2 linked regions of the Oryctolagus cuniculus genome follow. The main gene of each other region encodes a partner of the protein of the gene in region 2 in a complex. Links are inferred from orthologs where the notes say so. Each region holds a gene or a part of one and is shown on either strand. Other genes may lie near its edges.

Region 1 (4,543 bases), on a different chromosome or scaffold from region 2:
CAGTCCTGGCCGATACAGGCATTTGGGGGGGGGGGGGTCTCAAATACTTTTTAAAGGGGGAGGGGGTCTCGAGGCGCGAGACGCCAGAGGGGACGACGCGGCCCCCAGCCCCACCCCGCCCGCCCTACACACACGCGCACACCCGCACACGCGGTCACACAGGAAGGAGGCGTGGTCGCGAGCTGTCCGCGGGTCTTTATTTGGGCGGGCGTTGGGGGCGCTCAGGGCGCGCCCAGCACCAGCAGCTTCTGCATGTAGGAGTTCAGCCACTGGCGGCGCTCCAGGGCGGCCAGCAGCCGCGCGCGCTCCCGGAAAGCCACGTCGTCCGCCAGCGCCAGGCTCCGCCGCGATGCCGGGGTGGCCGGGACCGCCCGGGCCCGCACCGGGATGCGGAGGCTGCGGGGAGACCGGGAGTCGCCGTTACCGCCCGCCGCCGCCGCCGGGCTGACTCGAAGCCCCTCTTCCCCTGGGCGGGTCCCTGTGTGCCTGCACCTGCCGCCCACCCCCGCCCCGCCCCGCCCCGCCCCGCGCTCGGCGCACACGTGGCTCCCGTCGGGCGCCCAGCACGCGCCGCCCGAGGGCCGGATCCGTTTCTGCACCTGCTTTGCTCACGGCCTTTCCCGGTCTTGCTCTCGCCCACTCCCCCGCTGCCCCCTGCCCCGCCCCAACTCTGCCATCTCTGGGTCTCTGCGGCCCTGTCTTTGGGTTTGTGTCCCTTTTTCTGGAATTCACTCCACCCCTCCCTGGAAGTCCTAGGCCTTGCACGCACCTGAGAACCCCTGCGGGGGGCAGGGCGACTCCCGGGGTGGGACGGGCGTCCCCGGGCACAAGGAGCAGCAGCAGCAGCAGCCACACCCGTGGGCTCCTGGACACCTGGCGGGACTCCATCACGTGCGGGGAAAGGAGGGGCGGACGCAGTGAGGTCCGCATCAGCGCCAGAGCCGCCGGACTCCGCCAAGCACCAGCCCCCAGCTGCCTCCCGCAGGGCCCCTACCACAGCGGGCTGGGGCAGCGCCGGCCAGCAGCCCCCTTATATCCCCTCCACGGCCCCCGCTCGGGCAGTGACGCAGGCCCGGGGCTGGGGTGCGAGGTCAGCCGCCCCCCAAGGCTCATTAGGAACAGCCAGCTGTAATGAGAAGCCGGGGGTGGGGGCCTCGCTGCTGCCTTGGCCGCCACCAACTAATTGGGACCCGAGCCGGGACCTGAAGGGAAGAGGGAGGGGGAGAGATGGACAGACTGAGAAGTGGACACAGGGGGTGTGGCCGAGGGATAAAAATAGCGACCATCATAGCAGAAGACAGAGACTGAGAGAAAGAGGGAAAAAGCCACCGAGCCCAGGGACTGATGAGGGACAGACACAAAGAAGACAGAACCCGGAGAGGGAAAGACAAGGAGGAGGAAGAGGGGGAAGCCACGGAGGAAGGGAGAGCGGAGAGGAGAGAGAGGTCTTGAGAAACATCCCGGAGGGAGGGAGTGCCGCAGACGGAGCCCGCGGGGAGACACCGGGCAGACGGGGAGAGACGGGGAGGGGAGGGGAGGCAAGAGGCTGTCCAGGTGTGTGTGCCTGGGGTCGAAAAGACAGCAACATTGGAGGCGCCGCAGAGGGACCGTGAGCAGGGAGCCAGCCCGGGTCCCCTGCGGCAGGAGTGTGGGCATGGTGAAGACAAAAGTGGCGGAGTGAGTGGGGGCCAAGGCTGGCGGTCCTACAGGGGCAGCAGCCATCTGGAGACTTGGGGAGCTGGGCTCCCAGTTCCCCCGGAGAGGAGGGGCCAGGCTCCTAGGTCTGGGCAGGCAGGACAGAGACTCACTCCTGCATTCTGGTGAGGGAAGGCCTGGGCTCCTTGGCCTGTGGGAGGGAGATGAGGGCTCTGCCTCCCGGGGGAATGTAGCAGCCCCCCCTCGACTCTCAGGTTTGGGGGTTTGGGAGTAGGGGAAGACAGAGGGTCGGGACCCCGGGTCCAAATGGAAGATAGCTTGCTTGCCCACATCTCTCCCCAGAACATCCAACTCCCTTTCCCGCCCCCAGAGACAAGGTCCTTTACCCCTGTCCCTTTAAGAGCCTCATCCTGTCGCTAGGCGTCCAGGTTCCCCAGAGAGGGGTCAGGTGCGTCACCTGCGCACCCCTGGGACCCTGCCTCCTGCCACCCTGCCCACAGCCATTCTTGCAGCAGCCGCTGTCCCTGCATCCAGCTCTGCTCGGCGGCTGCATCTCGGCCACACCGGGGCAGGTAAGAGACCCCAGGACCCCCTGCCTCAGCCCCAGGGACTCCACACTCCCAGCTCTGTCCTCAGTGCACAGGGAGAGGGAGGGGTCCGGCTCACAGGTGCGCCTCTTCTCTGCCCCCCCCCAGGCTGGGGAATCCAGACCCCTAGTTCTGGAGGACCCAGGCACCAGGGCCCCCAATTCCCTTAGAACGCAGCACCCACGAATTCCAACCCCCAAACCCTCCTAGCCTGGCTGCCTCAAAATCCTAGGCCCGTGAACTTGAGGGCTCCCAAAGCCTCTGACGAGCCAGGAGGCTCCACCCGCAAGTCCCCTCACCCTGTGGGGTTCAGGAGCCTGAGCCCCCGGCAACCTGCCCGCCCGGGCCCCGGGGGGCCTCTGCCTGCCCGCGGCCAACCCGGGAGTCCGGCCCCACAGCCCTCCTTGGGGCCGCCGCGGATGTCCGAGCTCCGCGGACTGGGAGCCCAGCGGGCTTGCACAGGTGTCATCCCTCCCAATGTTTCCAGGACCCCCTAGGGAGATAGATAAGGCATTAACTACGACTCCCAGGAAGCCCCGCGCCTCGGTCTCCCCGGGCCACCGAGGCCAGCGCCGGGGTCCTCCTGGGGACCGGCGGGCGTGGCTTCTGCGCGTGGGCGGGGCCCGCGCGCCCCTTCGAACTTAACCCCATTCTTCCCGCTCCCCGTCTTAGCTATAGGCACCTCCCAGCCATGAAGCCGTTCCGCTCCGTCCTCTTCCTCCTCGCCTTCCTCCTCGTCCAGCTGGGTTCCAGAGCCGCCCCCACGGCCTCACCGTCTTCCGGCTCCGACCCCACCGCGGTGGGCCGCCCCTCCGAGACCTCCCCTCTGGCTCCTGAAGCGGCCGCGGGAGAGGGGCCCGAGCCCTCCGAGACCGCTCGCGCGGCTGCCCCGGAGCCCTCTGCCCTCGGCTCCACCGAGACGCCCGCGCCTGACCTCGGGGAGACCCTGTTCTCAGAGACTCCTGAGACCCCCTCCCGCGACCCACTCATAGCCCCTACTCCAGAATCCCCGGGCACCCCAGACCCTTCTGAGACCCCCAAACCTGACCCGGCTGAAATTCCACACTCAGCATCACCCGTGGCCTCAACTACCCTTACCCAAACTACACACCCGGAACCCCCAGAGACGCCCAAACCTAACGCCACAGAAATCTCACGTGTGGAAGCCCCAGAGACCCCAAATCCCGATCCCACCAAGACCCTTGACCTCACATCTCCAGAAACGCGTGACCCCGACACCACTGAGACTCCCCAGACCCTGCATCCTGACCCTACTGGGACCCCCAACCCAGAACCGCATGTGACCCACAACCCCGGCCCCACAGAGCTCCCCACAACCCACTCCCGAAATGCAACGGAGACCCCCGTGACCTCTGACCCGGAAATCCCCACGACTCCTCCCCCAGACACGCCTGCAACCTTCAAGGAGGAAGCTACCGCCCTCGGCGAGGCGCACCTGAGCCCCACACCTGACACCCCGGCGGCCACCCAGCCCGACTCCCCGACATTGCCCCCCTCAGAGTCCCCAGGGGCCGTGGAGCTGAAGGCCCCCCAGAACTCTAGCTCCAAAGGGCCTGACACCCCTCCTCCCTCAGCCCGGATTGCCAGCCCCCCTGCTCCCCCAGGACCCCCCAACCAGCGGGCGCCTGCCACTCTCAGGGACCCCCCAAGGCGCAGCCGAGGCGACAGCGTCAACACCATCATCGTGGTGGAACGAGTGAAGGAGACCGGTGAGGGGCTGGCCGGGACGCCCGGGGCCGAGGGAGGAGGCGCTGCGGCCGGCCCCGGGGCCGAGGGAGGAGGGCTAGGAGCTGAGCGCGGTCTCCTCCGCCAGGCGTGACGCTGGTGGGGCGCCCGCGCGGCGCGGGAGGCGGGGCCTTGTGCCTGTTCTTCGCGGGGACCGGGCTGCTGATCGGCATCTTCCTGCTGCTGTGGTGCCTGTACCGCCGCGCGGCTCGGCACCGCCCCTTCGCACACCACCGGCTCCCGGACCACGGAGACGAAGCCGGTGAGAGCCCCGCCCCCGCCCCGACTGCATCCACGTCTCCTGAATCCGCCCTCACCCAGCACCCAAGGGCGCCCTGCCCAAACGGACTGGTCCCTCATATCCAAGGCCAGTAAAAGCCCTGGCCGCCCAGGGAGGCACTGCATCGGGCCTGGAGCCCGCCCTTTCCTGCTTGGTGTGCGTGGCCACGCCCGTGCACTACAGGCCCCGCCCAGATGCACGGAAGCCCCGCCCCCACTTACTGCAGGCCACGCCCCTGCACTACAGGCCCTCCCAGATGCTCGGAAGCCACGCC
Region 2 (4,255 bases):
GAAAATGTGTCAACATGTCATTGTAAAGCGCTTTAATTTGATCTCCAGGTTTTGTTTAAAGTGCCAAGAAAGTTGACATGTGCAATACATTATCACAAACTGTCATCTTATACAGTTCTTCATCTATAGATATAAGTAAAAAATCAGTTTAAAGCAGTGATGCTCAACCAGGAGTGATTTTGCCACCAAAGGGACATTTGGCAAAATCTAAAGATATGCTTGGTTGTCACAGCAGGGTGCAGGGGGATGCCAACGGTATCTGGTAGATAAAGGATTAAGAATGGTAAATATCCCACAGTGTAGGAGACAACCCCCACCACAAAGAATTACAAGGCCCAAGATGTCCAGAGTGTCAAGGTTGAGAAAGTCTGGCTTAAAGTTACCATGGGAAAAGTACTCAGTGTCCCGATTGTTCTGTTGAAAGCAAAAGGAAAATAAAATACTCTGCATGCAATCCCAAAGTGAAGTCTTCTTCCCATTCCCTTAGAAAAAGTAATCCAGAACAGTGAATAAGATAAATGGTTCATTTGTGTCTTACACAAGGAGACAGTGATGTATGCATCCAAATATGAGATAAAAATGTAAGATATTTGAGACCATCAGAGTTCTAGAACCATCATAGAAATCTATCATCAAGTTCTTGGGAATTTTTTTGCTTATATTTATATTCTTCCCATTAACTTGGTGATTTTTTTTCAGGTTTGAGTGCACCCTACTTTTAAGTATTCATTGCTAATATAATTAGTCAATATAAAATACACAAACTCATTTTAGCACGATCAGCCTATACAACACATCCTGGTCATGTTAAGTAAAGCCCAGAATTTAGCAGCACACCTATTTCATAGAAATCCTTTTGAAGTAGTAATTTATGTCGTTATGACTATGACAGATGGGCTTTTAGACATTTAGAAATTGAAATTTTAGAATAATTTAAATTCACACTGGTCACCTGAAATCCAAAAGCATAGTACATCACTAAGTTTAGATCATACCAGTTCATAAATCAACAGTTCAAAAATCTGACAGTGAAAGAAGTTTTTAAATTGGGGCTCAGTTTTGACGGTCAAAGTGCGCCCCCTACGTAATGGTAGAAAAATAACTTTATTCGGTTTCAATCCACACCTATCGCTACAGGCATCTCTTTCCAGCTCATCAGAAAAGCTGACTGTAAATCCTATTTTGTTCCTTCCACATTAAAGAGATTCCCCTGAGAAATTGTGCCCAGAAAATCTCTACACGATATTAGCAGTATGAAAATGACGACACTGCTTATTCTCAACCTTAACAACTGAGCTGCGTGAAACCCGGTGCTCTGATTCCATCTAATCTCGCTTTGAATACTGATGAGCGCTGCTCTATCAGGGAAGGCCGGCGAGTGACCTGGCGGAGAGTGGTCACACTCGATCCTGGAAGCTGAAGTTTTCAAAAGCGATGGTAAATTGCCACCCGGCAAAAACTATCTGGATTTAATTAAAGGAGGAACTCAGAGTCTAACAGAAAGAGTTCCTTCCCTTCCAGCTTCGCACTCGCGATCCAGAACTCTGCAGTCCGTAAATACCCCCTTGGTTTGCAAGTGCAGCAGGACAGCTCTCGTCCGAAGCACCCCTGTGCAGATCCACGGATCGCCTGCCAGCCCAGCCGAGCGCTGGAGTGCGGTGTGTAATCGTGGATGTGCAGGTGCGCGAGCGCCGAGCGCCTTCGCCTCCATCCCGCCCTGGGGCGCCCGCTCCTTACCTGGGCTCCCACGAGGAGACAGCTGCAGAGCACCACCCAAGCCCAGATATGCTGCGATACCGCCGACCCGGCCATGCTCGGACCAGAACGAGAAGCAGGAACCTCTTTCCGAGCCCGCGAGTGGCTTTCAGAGTGGTCAACTTTGCCAGCGCCGGCCAAACTTGCGGCCAGAAGCGAGGCGCAGCCGGGCCACTGGCCGGGGCTCAGCGGCCGAAAACAACCTGCGCGTCTCGAAGCCCGTATCCCGGGGCCGGTGCCGTCTTCCAGGAAGAACCCGGTCTCGTCTCACCGCCCCGCGCCACCTGCAGCCGGGAGGGGGCCGCGGGAAGGGGGCGGACTCTGAGCCCCGAACTCCGGGCGCGCCCCTAGCTGCTGCAGGGGCACCTGGAGGCGGTCGCGCTCCTCCTCCGAGTCACCGGTCCCGCAGCCCAGGGGCCCGAGGGCCACCGTCCGCAGACCCTGCTGTCGCCGCCGCCAACTCCACGGACTCTGCTCCCTCCGCTCCGTCCGTGTTCCAGCGCAGACTCCAGGGGCGCCCGGGGCCCCCGGGGGGTAGCCCAGAAGTCCCTTCCTGCCCACACACGCGCTGACGGTCAGCCACGGGAACGTCGGACGGTGCGGGGAAGGGCTTGATACCTGCGCTATGAGCCGGCCCCGTCCACAGCCCGCCCTCTCCGCAGCTGGTCCAAATTCTCCTTTTTATTTTCTTGTAATCACAGAGAGTGAGAGTGAGTGAGTGTGTGTGTGTGTGTGTGTGTGTGTGTGTCCTATTTCACAGTGCATCTACCTGTCATATAGATCATGTATCTAGGATATGATCGATATACACACATATTTATAGGTCTGACCATCTCCAATTACAAATGAAAAACGAGATTTTGAGGATAAAGGGATCTCATCCTGGGAAAATAACATCTCAAGGAAATTGGTCGTCTCCGGCAGAATTGTTTTGGTTTTTTGCGGTTGTCTATTTGTTTGCCAGGTGGTTTTCAAGGGGCCACTTTGTGGCATGCTGACCTGCCCCAGAGCCAGCTCGGCTACTAAACTGAGCTGTACTGAATCAATTAATGACTGTCCCAGAATATGTGTGATTTTGTGTAAATTCTTGAAAACTGTCTTAAACGTTAACTGTGGTTTTTACTTAAATGATGTGCTCAAATTTGAGGCTTTCGTGAGTATTTCTAGATTAAACCCACGGTAGCCTTGATGAAGCATCTCCCATGCTCTTGCCTTCATCGGTATTGTTTTTCAGAATCTTGGCAAGGGGGCCACCACGTTATTGTCTTAGTTTTAATTCTTAGTGTATGAACAGGTTGACTGTTTTATGTATTTCCTGGCCAATTATGGCCCTTATTTATAAAATCTCCTGCTCTTGCCACCTGAGGAAAGAAGTGAATTGCATGTGCTTTGAAGCCAGATGACCTGGTTCAGACTCCTGCTCTGGGAGGGTCTCCACCCTCCCTGTCTTAGCTCTGGATGCTCTAACAAGATACCATAGACTGGATGGATTATAAGCAACAGAAATGCATTTCTCACAGTCTGGGAAGTCCACCACGAAGGCACCTAGTGGATTTGCTGTCTTCTGGCTGTAACCTCACCTGGCAGAAGGGGTGAGGGACTCTGAGAGATCTCTTAGAAGGTCATAAAACCCCTTCACCAGGGCTCCACCTTCACGGCCAAATCACCTCCCAAAGGCCCTGCCTGGTAATACTATCTATCACCCGAAAATTAGGACCTCAACATAGGGCTGCACACGTCCATTCCATTTCTCACACTCAAAAGTTTGTTGGAAACATCAAATGAGTTAACAAAAATTCAAGCAGGGAAAATGCCTAACACATGTTAGCTATTATGATTAATATTATTTGACAGGATGATTTTCTATGAAAGAGCAAAGGATGATTTAATGTTTCCTGTATAGAAAAGCACTGTAAAGCCGGCGCAGTGGCTCACTAGACTAATCCTCCGCCTTGAGGCGCCGGCACACCGGGTTCTAGTCCCCGTCTGGGTGCCGGATTCTGTCCTGGTTGCCCCTCTTCCAGGCCAGCTCTCTGCTGTGGCCCGGGAGTGCAGTGGAGGATGGCCCAAGTGCTTGGGCCCTGCACCCCACGGGAGACCAGGAGAAGTACCTGGCTCCTGCCATCGGATCAGCGTGGTGCGCCGGCCGCAGCGCGCCAGCCGCAGCGGCCATTGGAGGGTGAACCAACGGCAAAAAGGAAGACCTTTCTCTCTGTCTCTCTCTCTCTCACTGTCCACTTTGCCTGTCAAAAAAAAAAAAAAAGAAAGAAAGAAAGAAAGAAAAGAAAAGCACTGTATACATTTAGAATATTAAATTGTTTCTAACATAAATATGGAAGTGTTTTCCCTACTGTATTCTCAGTCTAATTTATAATATTTAATCTGTGAGAAGTTTTTGTTTTTTTTTTTTAAGATTTAGTTATTTATTTGAAAGGCAGAGTTACAGAGAGGCAAAGGCAGAGAGAGAGAGAGAGAGAGAGAGAGATCATCCATCTGCTGG

Evidence for each region.
Region 1: the proteins of PTH2R (region 2) and PTH2 are in contact, whole or in part, in a cryo-EM structure (PDB 7F16), measured with the Homo sapiens proteins. The link is inferred for Oryctolagus cuniculus from reciprocal best matches to the Homo sapiens genes PTH2R and PTH2. Residues at the interface, in NP_005039.1 of Homo sapiens: Thr31, Ile32, Ile34, Gln37, Ile38, Asp68, Gly69, Leu70, Ile90, Tyr91, Asp92, Phe93, Met112, Lys117, Ala120, Tyr122, Leu126, Gln130, Pro131, Ser134, Lys137, Gln138, Phe141, Glu142, Tyr152, Arg190, Ile194, Lys197, Val201, Ile205; in NP_848544.1 of Homo sapiens: Ser62, Leu63, Ala64, Leu65, Ala66, Asp67, Asp68, Ala69, Ala70, Phe71, Arg72, Glu73, Arg74, Ala75, Arg76, Leu77, Ala79, Ala80, Leu81, Glu82, Arg83, Arg84, Trp86, Leu87, Tyr90, Met91, Lys93, Leu94, Leu95.

The regions. Positions count from the first base shown.
Region 1 is NC_091449.1:7,981,741-7,986,283, reverse strand, and holds PTH2 (tuberoinfundibular peptide of 39 residues), read right to left. Parts: upstream 2,935-4,543; 5' UTR 931-2,934; coding exon 770-930; intron 397-769; coding exon 222-396; 3' UTR 184-221; downstream 1-183. Other genes in the region: GFY (Golgi-associated olfactory signaling regulator), read left to right, coding at 2,935-3,973, 4,078-4,251. UniProt on the Homo sapiens protein: Plays a role as a potent and selective agonist of PTH2R resulting in adenyl cyclase activation and intracellular calcium levels elevation. Induces protein kinase C beta activation, recruitment of beta-arrestin and PTH2R internalization.
Region 2 is NC_091434.1:31,374,997-31,379,251, forward strand, and holds the start of PTH2R (parathyroid hormone 2 receptor), read right to left. Parts: upstream 2,910-4,255; 5' UTR 1,813-2,909; coding exon 1,738-1,812; intron 1-1,737. UniProt on the Homo sapiens protein: This is a specific receptor for parathyroid hormone. The activity of this receptor is mediated by G proteins which activate adenylyl cyclase. PTH2R may be responsible for PTH effects in a number of physiological systems.